2 linked regions of the Canis lupus familiaris genome follow. The main gene of each other region encodes a partner of the protein of the gene in region 2 in a complex. Links are inferred from orthologs where the notes say so. Each region holds a gene or a part of one and is shown on either strand. Other genes may lie near its edges.

Region 1 (7,788 bases), on a different chromosome or scaffold from region 2:
TGAGGGCCTGGGGGCCACAGAGGAGTCTGCAGGAAAGCCCTTCCAAAGGGGCAGAGGTGGCAGCTGGGGGTTAGGAGGAGTACAGTCCCAACCACACTTTTGTTAGGACTGTGCACCCCAAGACACTTGTCTCCCCAGCTCCTGGGGTGAAGGGGCTGCACAAGGAGCAGTCCCAGCCTGGCCAGGGGGCCTGCACCGCTGCGCTGATGGGGATGGGGAGGCTGAGTTGGGGCTTGTGTCCAGGGCTCTGGGACTACAGAGGGACTACAGAGGGAGGCCCAGGACAGGGGCTTCCCCACCCCTCCCCCTCCGCCCTGGAACATCTCACAAAGGCAGCTCTGGACCACAGTTTCAAAACAGAACAAGTAACGGTTTCAAGCCAGAGTTACCACGGCAACCCTCAGCCTCGTTGCGCCGCCTCCCTTGGAGCCGCAGATGGCAGCCACCTCGGGAGGAGCTGAGGGCTCTGGGGCGCCCGCCCTGCCCCCACTGTCCCATGGGCCCTCTGGCCTCTCCTGTCAGTGACAGGTGTCACAGAGAGGCACAGGGTGCTGGGAGCCCAGGGCCCTGCCCTTGGAGGGCTGTGCGGTGTCCACAGGGCCGTGGGAGGGGACCCTGGCCAGAGCAGGTGCACAGTAGGCCCTTGGTGGACCTCCCCATACTTGCTGGAGTACAGGATGGAGCTGCAGAGCCTTGGCTGGCCCTCCCTGACCAGACCTGGAACTTTGGGAGAGGTGTGCTGGGAAACAGAAACCCCAGGCTGGAGGGGCGTGGACAGAGCACCCTCGCTTGGTGTGTGGAAGCCAGCCCCCCACCCCCAGTCTTACCAGTAGCTGAGCCCAGAGGAGAAAGGCCTGGGCAGCTGCTGGGGCTTTTTGTGGGGCGGCCCGCAGTGCTGAGGCTCAGTCACTCATGCCCCACTGAGCAGGTTGGCCCCACCCACCATGTCAGGGGTCTGCTCCCTGGCCGGGCCTCGGGGCAGGTGCTTTCCTTGAGGTCTACTTCTCAGTTTCTGCTCCCCGTAGGTCACATAGCTCTGGTCCTGTTGCAGGGGCAGGGGGCTGGGGTCAGTGTCTGGTGCTGTGGAGGCAGGTTGGGGGATGGCCTCAGTTGCCAGGCCACGCATGGTAGGAAGAGGAAGCCAGGAGCGGATGGCTGCGCAGCTAGGCCCTCCAGCCTGCGCCAAGGCTTGTAGCCCTGGGAGCAGATTCCACCTCAGTGGGGCATCCAGGGCTGGGACAGCCCGGCAGAGAGGAGGCCAGGGACCTGGAAGGTGGCCCGGAGGGCAGCAGGCCACTGGCTTGGGCTGGTGAGATGCTCATGTGTAGGCCAGGCCCTGGTCTTTGTTTCCCTTCAGGGCCTCCCCCTCCCCACCCTCCGTAGGTGCCCTGTGCTCGAAGGACGGTGAGTCTCTGAAGGGCCTACCAGAGCTGGAAGCTCCTGTTCTCCTGCCAGGCTCTGAGCACAGTCCCCTTTCCTGCCCCAGCTGCTCGGGCAGCCCCTCCCCTGGCCTCTGGGAGCACAGCGTGCTTCCTTCCTCCTGTAGCGGCTTCCCTTCCCAGGGCTGACAGCAGCAAGGATTTATCCCACAGACGGCCGGGCCCCTCGCCCTGCAGCTTCCTGGATGCCACCAGCCTCTGCGGCCTCGCCTTATCTAGTTCCTCCATCAGCCCCACCAGGGCCCTGGTGGCATCAGATCCCCACCCCTCTCTCTCTGGGCACCAAAGACTTGGAGTCCCCTCCATGGGGTTCCCAGATGAGCACAGGGCTGCTGAAGCCACCCCCTTGGAGGAGGGCCTAGCAGTCCCTGGGGTGCTCAGGTCTGGTGTGGACTGTGGCCGGATTAGCAAGTAAAAATAAAGGACATCCAGTTGAATTTGAGCTCCAGATAAAATATAAGTGCTGTTTTGACAGAAGTGTGCCCCATCAGTATCAGGGATGTGGGCCCATATCCAGGCCTTCCTTCCTGGGGCATCCCAAACACCAGGTCAGTGAAACAGACATGTGGAGCCACCTGGAGGGGGCTGCCCTGGACCCACTGGCCAGTCGAGCCGAGGGTCCCACACCTGCCTCAGTGGGCATTCAGGGGATGGTATAGCCCACCTCAGCACTGCAAGTAACCCTGGACCCGTTCTTTCCCCAGTTGGCTGGAGGCGTGATCCTGGGTGTGGCCCTGTGGCTGCGCCATGACCCACAGACCACCAACCTCCTCTATCTGGAGCTCGGGGACAGGCCTGCACCCAACACCTTCTATGTAGGTAAGTGCATGTGGGGTGGGCCCAGAACCTGGCTGGCACTGGGCTGGGGGCCAGCAGGAACGAGATCCACCAGGGTGTCTGCCAACAGGTGGTCAGGAAGGGCTTCCAGGAGGAGGCAGGGCATGGGCCAGGCCAGTGGGGCTTGCTGCAGTGCTGGGCTGCTGGGTGTGGAGGAGGCCTGCCAGCGGGGGCTCTTGGGGAGAGAGAGTGAGACAGAGATACTGTGGGTGGAGTCAGGTCAGCCTGGGGCCCTGGGGGGGGGGGGCGTTCGGAGGTGGTCCAGCCTGGCTGGGTGGGGGGTGCATGGGGCAGGAACCAGGCTGCCAGGCAAGTCTGGAACATCCCAGGGTGTGTGGGTGGTTGGGACTCACCAGTTGGCCTCTGGGGGCGGACTCGGGGCAGGAGGGGGAGCTGTCTCATGGTGGGTATTTCAGGGGAGGCTCCCTGGGCAGGGGCGGGGCTGGATGCCTGCCTGGGCTGCTGAGGCCCCTGAGGGGAGGGGGACTCTGGGCCCGGGGTGGGGCAGGGGCCAGTGTGCCTCAGGCCTCCCCAGCCACACCTTGCTGCCTTATTAGGCTGCGTGTCTGCCTCCCAGGCAGCAGCTGTGCCCTCAGGGTGTCCGTGGGGCTGGGGGTTGAGCCCCCACCCCTGCCCCCCCTTGCCTTGCAGAGCTGCACTCCTCCTTAGGTTGGTCCTGAGCCAGCGGGAGGCAGGGCCTGGCCCTCATGGGGCTCTGGAAGTCTTGTTTCTGTCCTTTAAAGGAAGGCCTGGCATGGCCCTCCTCCTCCCCAAAGGCCTAGCAGCAGGGCAGGAAGTATGTGTAGGCCTCTAGGTTGCGGGGCTCTGTATTAGGACCAGAGCCACCCCACTGGCCTGGTGCAGTGCGTGTGGCCTCGACAGGGTCTAGGTCCTTCCCAGCTGGTGTTCGGTGCCCCCCCACACACACACACACTTAGGATCACACTCGGTTGCTGGAGTGGGGATGGCCCAGGACACCCCAGGAGCATAGGGGGCATGTATGCCCCATCCCAGCCCATGACCCTCTGTGACCTGCAGGGTCGAGAGGTCTGACCCCGGAGCATCAATGAGGTGGCCCCTTTCTTCCCTGGAGATGGGAGCCTGTGGCTCTGGCAGTGGCCTCCGAGGGCCAGCTGACCTGGGGCGGGGGGGGGGGGGGGAGGGCGGGCTCCCAGGCCTCTGTCTCCAGATTCCTAGGCTCCCCTGGGTGGTGGGGCCTCTCCCAGGTTTGAGTCTCTGGAGGACAGGGCCCCTCTGCTTGCCTGCTCCAGGGATGCACATGGGGACCCCCACCAGGGCCTGGGCACCCTCAGGAGTGGGACTTTCAGCTTTGCCCACTTGTCCTACAGGCCTGCCTCCCCTTCCCCACAACCACTGGGCAGGACCCCACATCCTGCCTGTGGGCTGCTGCTGTCTGTGCGCCCTCTCCAGGACCCAGCATGCCATGGGTGTGGGCAGTGGTTTGGGAAGGGGTCACCCTCCTGCCCCATGGCCAGAGCTGCTCCTGCACTTATAGCCCTCCGTCTGGCCCAGCATGGTAGAGGAGCTGAAGGCTCCCTGGGTGCAGGCCAGGTATGGGCTGGGCAGGCTGGGGACACTGGTCACAGGCTCGGGCCCAGGCTGGGAGGAGTGAGGCTGCAGGACTGTGCCCGAGCTCCTGCGGGGAAGAGGTCCCATAGGAGAAGCTTATAGGGGGCAAAGTGGGTGTTGTCCAGAGGCTGTCCCTCACAGCTACTACACTGGGCTGTTGCCATGAGGCTGACCTTGGCTTACACACTGAGGGGAGCCTGCCCTGGGGAGGCACCTGGAGGGCGGAGTGGAGGCAGGGCCTGTCAGCCCTAGGCCTGAGCTGCTACTGTGTCCCCCATGGGCTGCTGTGTCCCCGCCCATCAAGGACTGGTCTTCTAGAGCCTCCCGCTGGCCCCAAGGTGGGCCAGGCCTGCCAGGGCGGTGGGGGAGCAGATGTAGGCCCTGACAAGGGTTCTTTGTCTGATGCTGGCAGAGGGGCAGGTTAGCAGGGCACACTCAACACCCCAGGCAATGCCACAGGGCCTGGTGGGTCCCCAGCCACACTTGTGGGAACCAGACCCCGGGGTTCTCGAGGAGCTGCGGGTCAGACGCCTGCCCCCGGGTGTCCGGCCCCTGGCATGACCTAGAACATCTGGCAGCTCCTCCCTGCACCTGTTGCAGTGTGCCCAAGCTCCCGTAGTGAGACAGGATTGGGGACCCGGGGACCCATGTTTCCTTGAGGTCCGAGGGCAGGGAGACTGAGCTGCAGGGTGCTGTGCCCCCTGGGCAGGAAGCCCCTGAGCCAGCCATGGCCGGAGGCCTCTCTTCCGCCAGGTCCACCAAGTGCTGTCCAGAGGCTTTGGCCAGGAGGAGGCCCTCGGCCATTTCCCAGCACAGTGTTTGGGCCTGGATGCCAGGCTGGCCAGACCCTGGAACCTGGGACCTTGGCTGTATGGACAGGGGCTTGGGCTGCTGTGATGGCAGGGGGACAGGCCCAGGCCCAGGATTGCTGGAAGGCCACAGTTGGCGTCTCCCAGTGGTCTCAGGGCCCTGTGTGGGTGGGCCAGGGGAACCTGCACTCCCCTGTGGTGGCCCTCCCTGCTTGCCCAGGAGCTCGTACCCAGCCTGGTGGGCAGCCCCTGTGTGCTGTCACCACGCCATCCTCCATGGGGCCAGGCCCCCTCATCCAGCAGGCTCCGGTCCCTGGGATCAGAGCCTCGGAAGCTGGCTCAAGCCCTCCTGGGGTTATGTCCCCTCCTCTCCCCTTGAGCCAAGAGCAGGGCCCTGTGCACCTGGAGAGGATGATCCTTTGTGGTCATCACCTCATCCCAGGGGCTCTCGGGAACCAGAGTGGGTGCAGGCTGCACGGGCCTCACCCCGGGAGCAGTTCCGTGTGAAGCTCTGAGGGCAGAGCCTTCTGAGTGCTCGCCCCTGCCGGTCAGTCCCACCGGGCCCCCTCAGCGGCCTGGCTCCAGGTGCAGACATGCAGGGGGGTGCTCACTCCGACGGCCAGGCCGCAGTGCCCTCCACTAGGGCAGGGGGGCCCAAGTCCTGGGCTGGGGGTGGGACGCATGGCTGGAGAGGGGCCGTGGCCTTTGGGACGCTGCTCACTGAGGGTGTCCCTGCTCTCCCACAAAGGCATCTACATCCTCATCGCCGTGGGCGCTGTGATGATGTTCGTTGGGTTCCTGGGCTGCTATGGGGCCATCCAGGAGTCCCAGTGCCTGCTGGGGACGGTAAGGTCGTGAGTGGGGCTGGGGGACACAGAGACAGAGCCTGGAGCTCTGCTGGGTGCATCCCTTGCCAGTGTGGGAGGCCGTGGAGGGGGGCTCGCAGGGCAGCCTGGGGACCTAGCCCAGAACGTCAGCCCCAACGTCCCTTTCTGGTCCTGAAATCCGGTCCTGGTTGACTGCTGGGATGTCTGGTTCCAAACTCAGAGTTCCACAGTTTTCCTCTCTGGTTTTAGTAAAAAGCCAGAAACAATAGGGCCATGTCCCTTGGGCCAACCTCCACGGGGACACAGAGGCCCAGGCAGTCGGGAAACGGGGCAGTGGGTGGCCGTGTCACGATGCTCCCTTCCCGTGGGCAGAGGGAGAAGTGGGGTGTGGAAGGGGCTTCCTTGGGACCCCAGCCCCAGCCTGTAGGGCTGCTGAGAACACTGGCATGTCACTGCTGGGACTGACTCTTCCCCCTCGCTGCTTTTCACCTCCGCACGGCTGCTCCCTGGATGGGACGTGCGGAGTGGAGGCCAACCCCACACATGCACCTGCGGGTCACTCGGACGTCCGGCATCTGCGTGACCCCACGCCTGTTCTCACCCCGCATGTCTCTGCCCTCCCCTCTGGGTCCTGCATGGCCTTCCCAGTTCTTCACCTGCCTCGTCATCCTGTTTGCCTGTGAAGTAGCTGCCGGCATCTGGGGCTTTGTCAACAAAGACCAGGTGAGCCCGGGATCACGGTGGTGGGGCCCATCCCAGCAGGGTCAGGAGGGAGGGGTGCCCGCCTGCTGCTCAGGTTGGGCCTACCCTGGGATCGCAGGGTGCTCTTTGGGGCTCCCCCTGGGGCCTGCCTGGTAGAAAGGCCACGGAGGGCTTTCTGGAGGAGGTGGCGCGGGGGCTGAGGAGAAGGCAGGGCCACCTGTCTCCCAGCCTCGAGTGGTGATGGGGGGCAATCCTGGTCTACCCTGGAAGCATTATCTTCTCAAGAGAGCCAGGTGAACCGCTTGCCCCCCTCTCTGGGGTGGTCCTTGCTGTGGGGTGACCTCGGCCCTCCCGCACACCCTCCCCCCAGATCGCCAAGGATGTGAAGCAATTCTACGACCAGGCTCTGCAGCAGGCCGTGGTGGACGACGAAGCCAACAATGCCAAGGCCGTGGTGAAGACCTTCCATGAGACGGTGCGGCAGGGGGTGCTGGGGGTGCAGGAGGGTTGTCCTCCGTGAGTGAGGCCTGGCTGGGGTTGAATCTGGTCTCCGTGGGGCACTGGAGACCTGGAAGCCCTTCTCCTGGAGGGCCGTGGAGCCCTATCTGGGACCCCCCCCCCCCCCCCGCCCAGGGGATTGTCTGGGACCTGCAGGTCCCCTGTGTGAGCCAGATGGGCAGTAGGAAGGCCTGGGTGTGGGGGTCTCTGAGCAGCACAGCCAAGGGTGGAGGGGATGAGGAGTCCTGGGCTGTTCTTCTTGAGGAGCAGACCCTCCCTGGCTGGGGACACCCCTGGGGCTTGGGCAGCCCACGGGGTGTATGTCCCTGGCCGTGTCCCTGTGGTCCTCTGTGCACACGGCCCGGGCTGACCGCAGGTGTCCTCCGTGCAGCTCAACTGCTGTGGCTCCAGCACGCTCTCCGCGCTCACCACCTCCATGCTCAAGAACAGCCTGTGTCCCTCTGGCAGCAACGTCATTAGCAACTTGTTCAAGGTACATGGAGCCCACTGGGCCGCCCAGGGTTGGCCCCACGTCGCGTCCAGCAGCCCAGCTGGGTTGGGCCCCTGGCTCTGCACACAGCACCTTCCGTTTCCACATCTGCTTTATTTATTTTAAACATTTTGAGAGAGAGAGTGAGCGAGAGGGAGAGGGAGAGAGAGAGAGAGAGAGAGAACACGAGCAGGAGGAGGGGCAGAGGGAGAAGCAGACTCCCTGCTAAGCAGGGAGCCCAACATGGGGATTGATCCCAGAACCCGGGACCTGCCCTGAACCCAAGACAGATGCTTCACCCGCTGAGCCTCCCAGGCGCCCCCTCCACATCTGCTTTAAAATGGACGTGAGATAACCTGGCAGAGACCAGGCCCTGGTGGCACGTCTTCAGGGAATCGAGCCCCTCCCTTCTCTTGCCACAATGACCCCGAGCCGCTGCACTGAGGGGCCCGAGGGCCTGCACTCCTGACCGTCGGCGGGCTGTCCCCCACAGGAGGACTGCCACCAGAAGATCGATGACCTCTTCTCGGGGAAGCTGTACCTCATTGGCATTGCAGCCATCGTGGTGGCCGTGATCATGGTGAGTACACGGGCCA
Region 2 (7,669 bases):
CCCTGTGACAGCCTGCAGAGGGGGCTGCTGAGCCCACCCAGGGATGCTGCTGGGAGCTGTGAAGTTGGGGTCCAACAGCCACAGAGGCCTCCACACCCACGCAGACCCCTGGGGAATGGCAACGAACACAGGCTTTGGAGTCAGACACACCTAGCTCAGACCCTCCTCTCAGAAGCTGGGGGCCTCTCTGATCCTCCATTTCTTCCTCTGTAAAGCAGATACAGCAATAGGGCTGCCAGGCAGGGCCGTGTTGGGGTTTGAGGAGATCCGTACCATGCCAGGCACAATCCTGGCTAGAGGGATGCGGATAGCTCATGCTCCTTCACTTATACCTATGGTTTGAACAAGAGTCGGATCAAGGCCAAGTCTGTTGGGACCATCGGAAGAGAGAAGGCTCAGCTGTGTAGGCCCCAGCCTTCCCCGACCAGGCTAGATAATGGGAGAGGCAGGATGGGGTGTGCAGGAGCATGGGCTTTGGGGTTGGTCAGGCCTGGGCTGACATCTGCCCTGGCCTTCATGGCTGGGTGAGCTTGGGTGAGCTGTCTGCTGCTCTGAGCCTCCCAGACATGCAAAGAACTTATTCTGTGTATGTAGAATTGTCTAGACCACTGGGTGTGGCCATGGCCATTATCTTTTTATGATGGTCAGTACTGTGCAATTACTGTCATATCATCCAACCAGTCACCGGTGGCCCAGACAGGAAGTGAGAGCAGCAGACACACATGGGGAGTGCCACGAGGGAAGGGGAGGGGCTGACCACTCAGGCCCCAGATCTGGTGGCTCTGTGGATAAGGCCAGGGCCTTTGGCATGGTCCCATGGTCACTGCAAGATCAAGGGTAGGAACACCCTGCCAAGAAGGCGCATCCTCCCAGCATCCCCTCCCCTCCAGGGCCAGTGCGCCACATGCTCTACCATGGGGGTCTGAGGACCCACCCAGCCTCTTCCTCCCACACAGTGTCCAGGCAGGAATCAGTCCCCTTCTGGGCCCCCTGGACCTGGAGAGTGTTGGGAAGAGGATGTCAGCGGCGTCACTCCTGGGACGGGGGTGGCAGGTGGGAATCTGGCACGGTGTCCCAGGCACTTCCTCTGCAGGGAAGACTTGGGGCCAGATGGGAAGCACGGCCCGTTCCCCCTCCCTCCCAGCGGCAGCCAGGTGAGGCGAGATGGCAGACAAGGGCTTTGGGAACTGCCACTGGCTGGCACTATCGCTGCAGACCCATGCTAGTACCAGGGCCCTCAAAGGGGCTCATGGGGGCCTGTGTGTGAAGAAGGGCCCAGAAGGAGGCACCCAGAGTGTCCAGCATACCTGGAAAAACAGGACAGGGGGCGGCGGGCTGGCAAAGTGGCCAAGATAGCTGGACAGGGCCAGGGGGAGGGCCACCCCTCCTAGGCCCCATCGGGGCTGGGGGCTGGCCTGGAGCCATGGACAGAGCCCCGGGACCTCCAAATCCCAGCACACAGGGAACTATAACTTCCCTTTCTGCCACCTCCTCTCACCACTGATTTGTCCCCGTGGCTCCAGGTGGGCTTCTGTCTCTAGGGACAAGGCCTCCAGGCTTCTGGCCAGGCCCAGCCCACATTTGCCCTTCTGGCCTCTTCAGTGCGTTTCCCACACCAGAGCAACGTCCCCACACGCAAACCTGGTTGTGTCCTGAGAAGAGCGGTCCTGCTGTCTGAGGCCCCACGGCCCGCTGAAGAGCATGAGAAGAGCCGTCGAGGGGCCTGTCCAGCACCTGTCCCGAGAAGGTGGGATCCGACCCGAGACCCCTTTCCCTGCTACCTGAGCCAGCCTCAAACACAAAACCTAAAATGCAAGAGCTCTCCAAAGTGGGAGAATGTGTTTGAAGGGAGTGCTCTCTGCCGGGCGGGGGGGCAGCAGGGAGCTGGGTCCTTTCCTTCCCTCCCTGAGGATGGGAGGACGTGCCCCCAGGTCTAGCCAAGGTGTGGCGCTCCAGGAGACCTTCCTGCAGAGACTGAGAGGCCTGTGAGGAGGGAGCTGGCTCTGACCCCCCACCCAATCTGCCCAAGCAGGGCACTGGGGGCCAGGCTTGCCTCTGTCCTCAGGACTCGCAGAAAGTGGAGGCAGAAGCCAACGGGACAGAGGAGCAGAGAGCATTGGAAGAGAAGCCGGGCACAGGGAGGCGCTGCGTGCCGAGGTCCCCGCAGGTCTCCGGATCCCACAGTCACCCATCAGAGGGCACTGCCAGTCTACTCTCCATGGCTAAGGTGGCCTTGCACCCATCCTGTCCATTTCCCCCAGCCCGTCATCCCCCTGGAGCAGCCAGGAGACGAGGGAGGCGGCTGCGCTGGGCAGAAGCTCGGGGTGGACCTGGATGCACACAGCTGGGCTCAGACGCCGCTCCTCTCGCAACCGAGCCGCACAGATCCTCCTTGCCTGAGCCACGGGGCACGGGCACAGCAGCTTGGACGGAACTGGGCTGGAGGTGGTGATGGGAGGCAAGTCCAATCATTGCTTCTTGCAGCCCACCTACTTCATTCCAGCCCACAAACCGGTTCCGTACGTCACATGACCATCCAAGGGCTGAATTCAGTCCCCACATCTGATTTCTTTGGCCAGTGAATTTTCTGGATGAGTCAGACTTTTAAATCAAGGGATTTTGCGCCCACACAATCGATTCCTGATTTATCATAAAAGGTGGGTGGTATGGCTACATGGACCTTCATCCCTGCATCCCTGCTCAGGGCAGTGGGCGGCTGGAGCTGAGTGGCTGCTGCCCCACGGCATCGGGTTAATCATCTCCAATCCACCACAGACCCCAACATTCCCCACTGCCTTCCCAACACTGATGCCAAGGAACCCTTTATCCCCTGCCTGTCCTGGTGGATAAAGTTTCCAGCAGTTGATTTTTTTCACACATGGCCACCTTCTCTCATCTGTGTTTCCTGATTGGGCCTAAGGGGTTTGTATCAATGACTCTTAATAGAAGCACAAAAGGAAGCGCTCCAAACGTTTACATTAGTTTGTTAGGTATTAACAACAGCTGATTTTAATTTCTTTTCTTCTATAGTTTCCAAATTCTCTACAATGAACATCTACTTCTTTAAATTCAAAAGACAAATGAGCTAGTGCTTAAAAAGAAAGTCCTCCCCATGTTTAAGGCTGAGAGCCAGATCAAATGTTGCCTCCTACAGGAAGTCTTCCTGGATCTCCAGCAATCCCTAATCCCGTGCCTGTAGCTCCTGAGGAGCCTGTTAGGCTCTAGGCCAGGGTCACCAGGGGAGACGCACCTCAGTCTTCCCAGTACTGGGGCAGAAGCAAATTTGCCCTGCTATGCTCCACAGTTCTTGCCACAAGAGGGCTTTGGGAGAGGCTGACAGTCCCTGTGAGGGGTGGGCTTGGCAGTGGTGAACAAGGGCAAGGCAGCCTATAGAAAGGCCCAGATGGACAGACAGACCTGGCCCAGCCCAGAACATCTATACTAAGCCTGAGTCAAAGGCAGGCAAAGGCCCGTGCAGTAGATAAAGGTTTACAGCAGGCACCAAGCAGCTCTTGGCAACCACAACCCAAAATACAGCACTGGAATTGGCTGAATCCGGGGCTGGAGAGGGATGGCGGCTGGGGAGGCTGAGGTGCTGGGCTCAGAGGTAGAGGAGCTGCTGCTGCAGGGGGCTCTCCTCCTCCAGGGCTCTGGCTCAAAGCTCTGCCCCACACTCGTGTGCCCTGAGTACCACTCTCAGGCTAAAATGACAGGACCGCAGAGGGCCCTCGTGGAGCTCACCAGAGACAGTAGCTCTGGCACATTCTGTCCGGGGCTGGGGCACAGGGCCAAGGATGGTGCCAGGCCTCACAGGTCTAGGTCTTGACCTTGGGGCCTGTGGCCTCCCATCCTCAGCAATGAGGGCTGGGCCCAGGGGTGGTGAGTTAAGACCAGCCTTCAGCCCTCAGGACAGTGGGGGTACAGGTCCTACTCCTGAGCCTCTTGTAAGCGGGGCCGGAGAGCCGAGTAGTACACAGGCCAATTCAAAGGGCCGAGCCTGGGCGTCTGGCTGCCAAGGCAACAGCCCCCTCACCCCAAGGTCCTTGGGCCTTCCTCTCAAGTCTCTGGCTGACCATCAAGTGTCAGGCCTGGCTGTGGGGGTGGCAGGTGGTGGTGAGGACAAGCCCCATCTCTGGTTCCTCAGGCAGCTTCTGGCGGGTGGCTGGTGGCCTAGATGCGGCTGGACGAGGTGCTGCCCGAACTGATGGGGAGCCTGGCGCTGTCCGAGCTGCTTTTCAGAGGCGAGGGCCCGCCCCGGGCCTGCAGCCGCATGGACCAGTACCAGAGGAAGATGAAGAAGCCTGTGGGCAGGGAGGGGGCATGGGGTTCAGCGGGGGGGCGGGCAGCCCTGCCCCTTCCCTCCCCTCCTCCCTACAGGCTACCAGCACCCATGTGATCAAGGGAACACCCACCGTGCCCCAGACACTGAGATTTCCTGGGCCCCATCTCACTTTATCCTCTCGAGATTCTCATGAGGTCAGGCCTATTCATTACTATTCTGTTTCACAAATGAGAAAACTGAGGCACAGGGAGGTAAGGGGACTTGACTGAGCCAGGAGCTAAACAGTGGTGTTCAGGCTCCAGAACACCTGCTTAAGCACCTCTCGGCCAGAACAGAGGGGTGTGCGTGTATGTCTGTCTGTCTGTCCTTGGTGGGGGAGGGGGTGTAGAGGGGTCCCAGTAGAGGGACCTGCCGGCATCAAGCCCCAGCCCTCATGATCCAGCTCCTCTGCATCTCTCCCCTTCCCTCCTCCCCTCTGCCCCTTACCCAGCTACCCTTCAGCCTTGCTCCCCTTCACTGTCCTTCCAACACACACCTAGTTTTAGCCTCAGGACCTTGGCTCTTGCATCTCCCTCTGCCCAGCACTCTCTTAGACCAGAGCTCCGCAGCCTGTGACACACACACACACACACACACACACACACACACACACCCTGGGCATCTGTTACAGTGCAGATCTGATTCAGTAAGTCTGGCATGGCCAGAGTCTACACATCTAGCAAGCTCCCCACGAGGCTGATACCCAGAGGAGTTCAAGTCTTAGTTCACAGATGCAGCCCCAAGTTTTCACACAGGGCCTCCACGTCCTAGGTACTCAATAAAGACTTGTCAACTATGGCCTGGGTGCCCCCATTTTACAGATGGGAAGACCGAGGCCCAGAGAAGCCTTCAGGGTTGGCTCCCTATCTTCCCAGCCCCGTACTCCACACGTGGGTACCCTACCCGGGGCCGGGGTGGTGGTCTTCTCTGTGCCTACCTTGGAAGGAGGTGATGATGCTGAATAAGTAGAGGACCACAAGCTGGAAGGTGCCAGAAGCAAAGGAGAAGAAGACCAAGGCCCAGGGTAAACCGAGGACCAGGCTGAGCCCCAGCAGCGTGAGCACGTGGGGCCACTTGTGAGCATGCGGGCGCAGCCGCAGGATCTGCACCACCATGGTGCCCAGCATGGCCATGTTGAACAGAAACACCAGGCTGAAGAGGCCCAGGTTGGTGACATGGCTGACCAGGGAGTCCCGGATCCAGCACCTGACAGCAAAGACATGAGGGCTCAGGGGGTGACAGGGCTGGTGCCGTGCTTCTGGGCTGTGGGTGTGCGTCACAGGGGCCCCGAGGGCCGGGGAGCCGCCTTCACCACCTTCCCTGCCAGGCCAAGGCCTCCAGCAGCCCTGGCGCCCAGGAGCCCCGAGGTCAGTGTGGCAGTGTGGCTCCGCACTCCCAGGCTCGTGTTCCCGCCCCCACGCACTCAGCCACTCACATGGAAGGGTAGATGACACTCTCCGGAGTCCTGTGCACAGCCAGGATGATGGGGCCATAGTTACTGATGTCCACCAGCGCCACCAACATCACCAGGAAGACAGGGAAGCCTGCCGGCAGCAAGCGTGCAGTTCCATCTCCCACCGCCTGGGGGTGCCCTCCCCTCCCCTCCCCTCCTCCAGGAGGGTCCTCCGTGATCAGACCCTCCCCTCCCCCACTCCAGTTTAGGTTTCCCATAGAGAGCCCCATCGCCCTGGCTTGCCCCTTCCCCCTCACCATCCTGGGCCCCCTGGGCCTCCATCCCTGGAGAGAAGGTCTGAGCTTCCCTGCTGGGGGGCAGGACGTCACAAGGAGACGGGGGCACAGACTGGGGGGTGGGGGGTAGCTGGAAAGGGGACTTCTGCACTGGGCCTCGACTTTGCCCACCAGCTGGGGACCGAGGACTCTCCAGAAGTGGTCACCCAGCACCAAACACCCAGGTCTTGACACAGAGCCAACTCTGAAGGGATTTTGTGTAAATCAATGGAGTGAATCAAGAATGGGACAGATGAGAAACACAGAGGAGCAGCAAGCTGGGTGAGGGAATGTGGAGTTTGGGGGCTGCTGCAACATCCACAAGGACTCGTGGTGTGCCCCCTGGGCCTCCAGGCCTGAGAGGTCTGGGCCATGGTAAACTGGGTGGTCTTGGCCAAGAACAAACACCAGAGCTATGGAGAATCTGTTATCTGAAGCGCTGGAGGATCCACAGACAGAGCCACTGCCAGCCTGGGTGCATTAGATGAGTGGAGGACGGGATTACGGCCCACTCATCCCCCAACGGGGTGCCTTTGAGCAGTACACAACCTGCACATCCATACATGGTGGCTGTCTGCAAACCTTCCTTTTAAAAAGTGAGCAATGTGAAGAGTATGTGTTTCTGGGGGCAGTGCTCAGCACTTCATCTTCCCAAAGGGGTCCTTAACCCAGCCAAGGCCAAGAACACCTGAGGATGTATGGGTAAAGGAAGTCGAGTAGAAGAGGCAGGCGTGGGGGGCCTGCCAGCGCCCTCTGCCCACCTACCCCAGCCCATGATGCTCAGCTTGAGCAGGTAGCCGGGGACGTAGGTGCCGAAGACCTCAACCACGAGTCGGTAGAGGTTGTAGCCCTCCAGGCCCATCCAGGAGAGGCAGGAGAGCAGAGAGAAGTGCAGGAAGATGGCGCTGGCGCGGCAGCCAGCCTCGGAGCCGGCCAGGGCCACCGGCTCGCTCAGCAGGAAGCTCACATCCAGCAGGAAGACAGCCAGCAGCAAGTTCATGTGCACCTTGATGGTGTAATCCCGAGACTTCCTCCTGCGGTGGGGGCGGGGAGGGGCGGCGGGCGCATAGGGTCACCATGGTGGCCCACTTGGGGAGGTGCGGGCAGCACTCCTCCTCCAGGCAGCCTTCCCAGACTACACACGCACACCCTCTCCTGTTCCTATGGCTGCAGCCAGGTCATCTCCCACGAGTCCCTGAGCACCTACTGTGTGCCCAGGACCCACAGGTCGGGCACCGTGTGCATATTCAACAACAGATTCAGCCACAGACAACAAGCAAGACAAATCTGGCCACTGCAACCAGCCAGATACTCCCAAAGTTGGAGGGGAAAGACTCCGCATTTGTTGCTGTTTTGGAGACTCCGTGCCACTGTGTCCTGTGTCTGCCCATCTGTCTGCACAACCATGTGACTGTGAGGCTGTGAGTATGGCGGGGTGGGGTATGTCTGTCTGTCTTCAGGGCTGCAAGTCTGTGTGTGCACAGCCCCGCCACCCCCCACACCCAGGACTCGACAGGATCCAAACACTGCCGGCGTTACCTCCCTGGCCCTCCAAACCCCCACCTGTGATCTGCCCAGCACCACCTCCTGCTACCTGTTCCAGAAGGAACAAGAGCCATG

Evidence for each region. The genes of interacting proteins can lie anywhere in the genome.
Region 1: ADGRG1 (region 2) and CD81 share a complex: the UniProt entries of both Homo sapiens proteins name them as parts of the GPCR-tetraspanin complex. The link is inferred for Canis lupus familiaris from reciprocal best matches to the Homo sapiens genes ADGRG1 and CD81.

The regions. Positions count from the first base shown.
Region 1 is NC_049239.1:46,920,695-46,928,482, forward strand, and holds part of CD81 (CD81 antigen), read left to right. Parts: intron 1-715; exon of another isoform or gene 716-734; intron 735-2,143; coding exon 2,144-2,258; intron 2,259-5,423; coding exon 5,424-5,521; intron 5,522-6,150; coding exon 6,151-6,225; intron 6,226-6,574; coding exon 6,575-6,679; intron 6,680-7,093; coding exon 7,094-7,195; intron 7,196-7,685; coding exon 7,686-7,772; intron 7,773-7,788. UniProt on the Homo sapiens protein: Structural component of specialized membrane microdomains known as tetraspanin-enriched microdomains (TERMs), which act as platforms for receptor clustering and signaling.
Region 2 is NC_049223.1:58,073,659-58,081,327, forward strand, and holds the end of ADGRG1 (adhesion G-protein coupled receptor G1), read right to left. Parts: intron 7,084-7,669; coding exon 6,815-7,083; intron 5,866-6,814; coding exon 5,757-5,865; intron 5,528-5,756; coding exon 5,259-5,527; intron 4,302-5,258; coding exon 4,171-4,301; 3' UTR 2,973-4,170; downstream 1-2,972. UniProt on the Homo sapiens protein: Adhesion G-protein coupled receptor (aGPCR) for steroid hormone 17alpha-hydroxypregnenolone (17-OH), which is involved in cell adhesion and cell-cell interactions.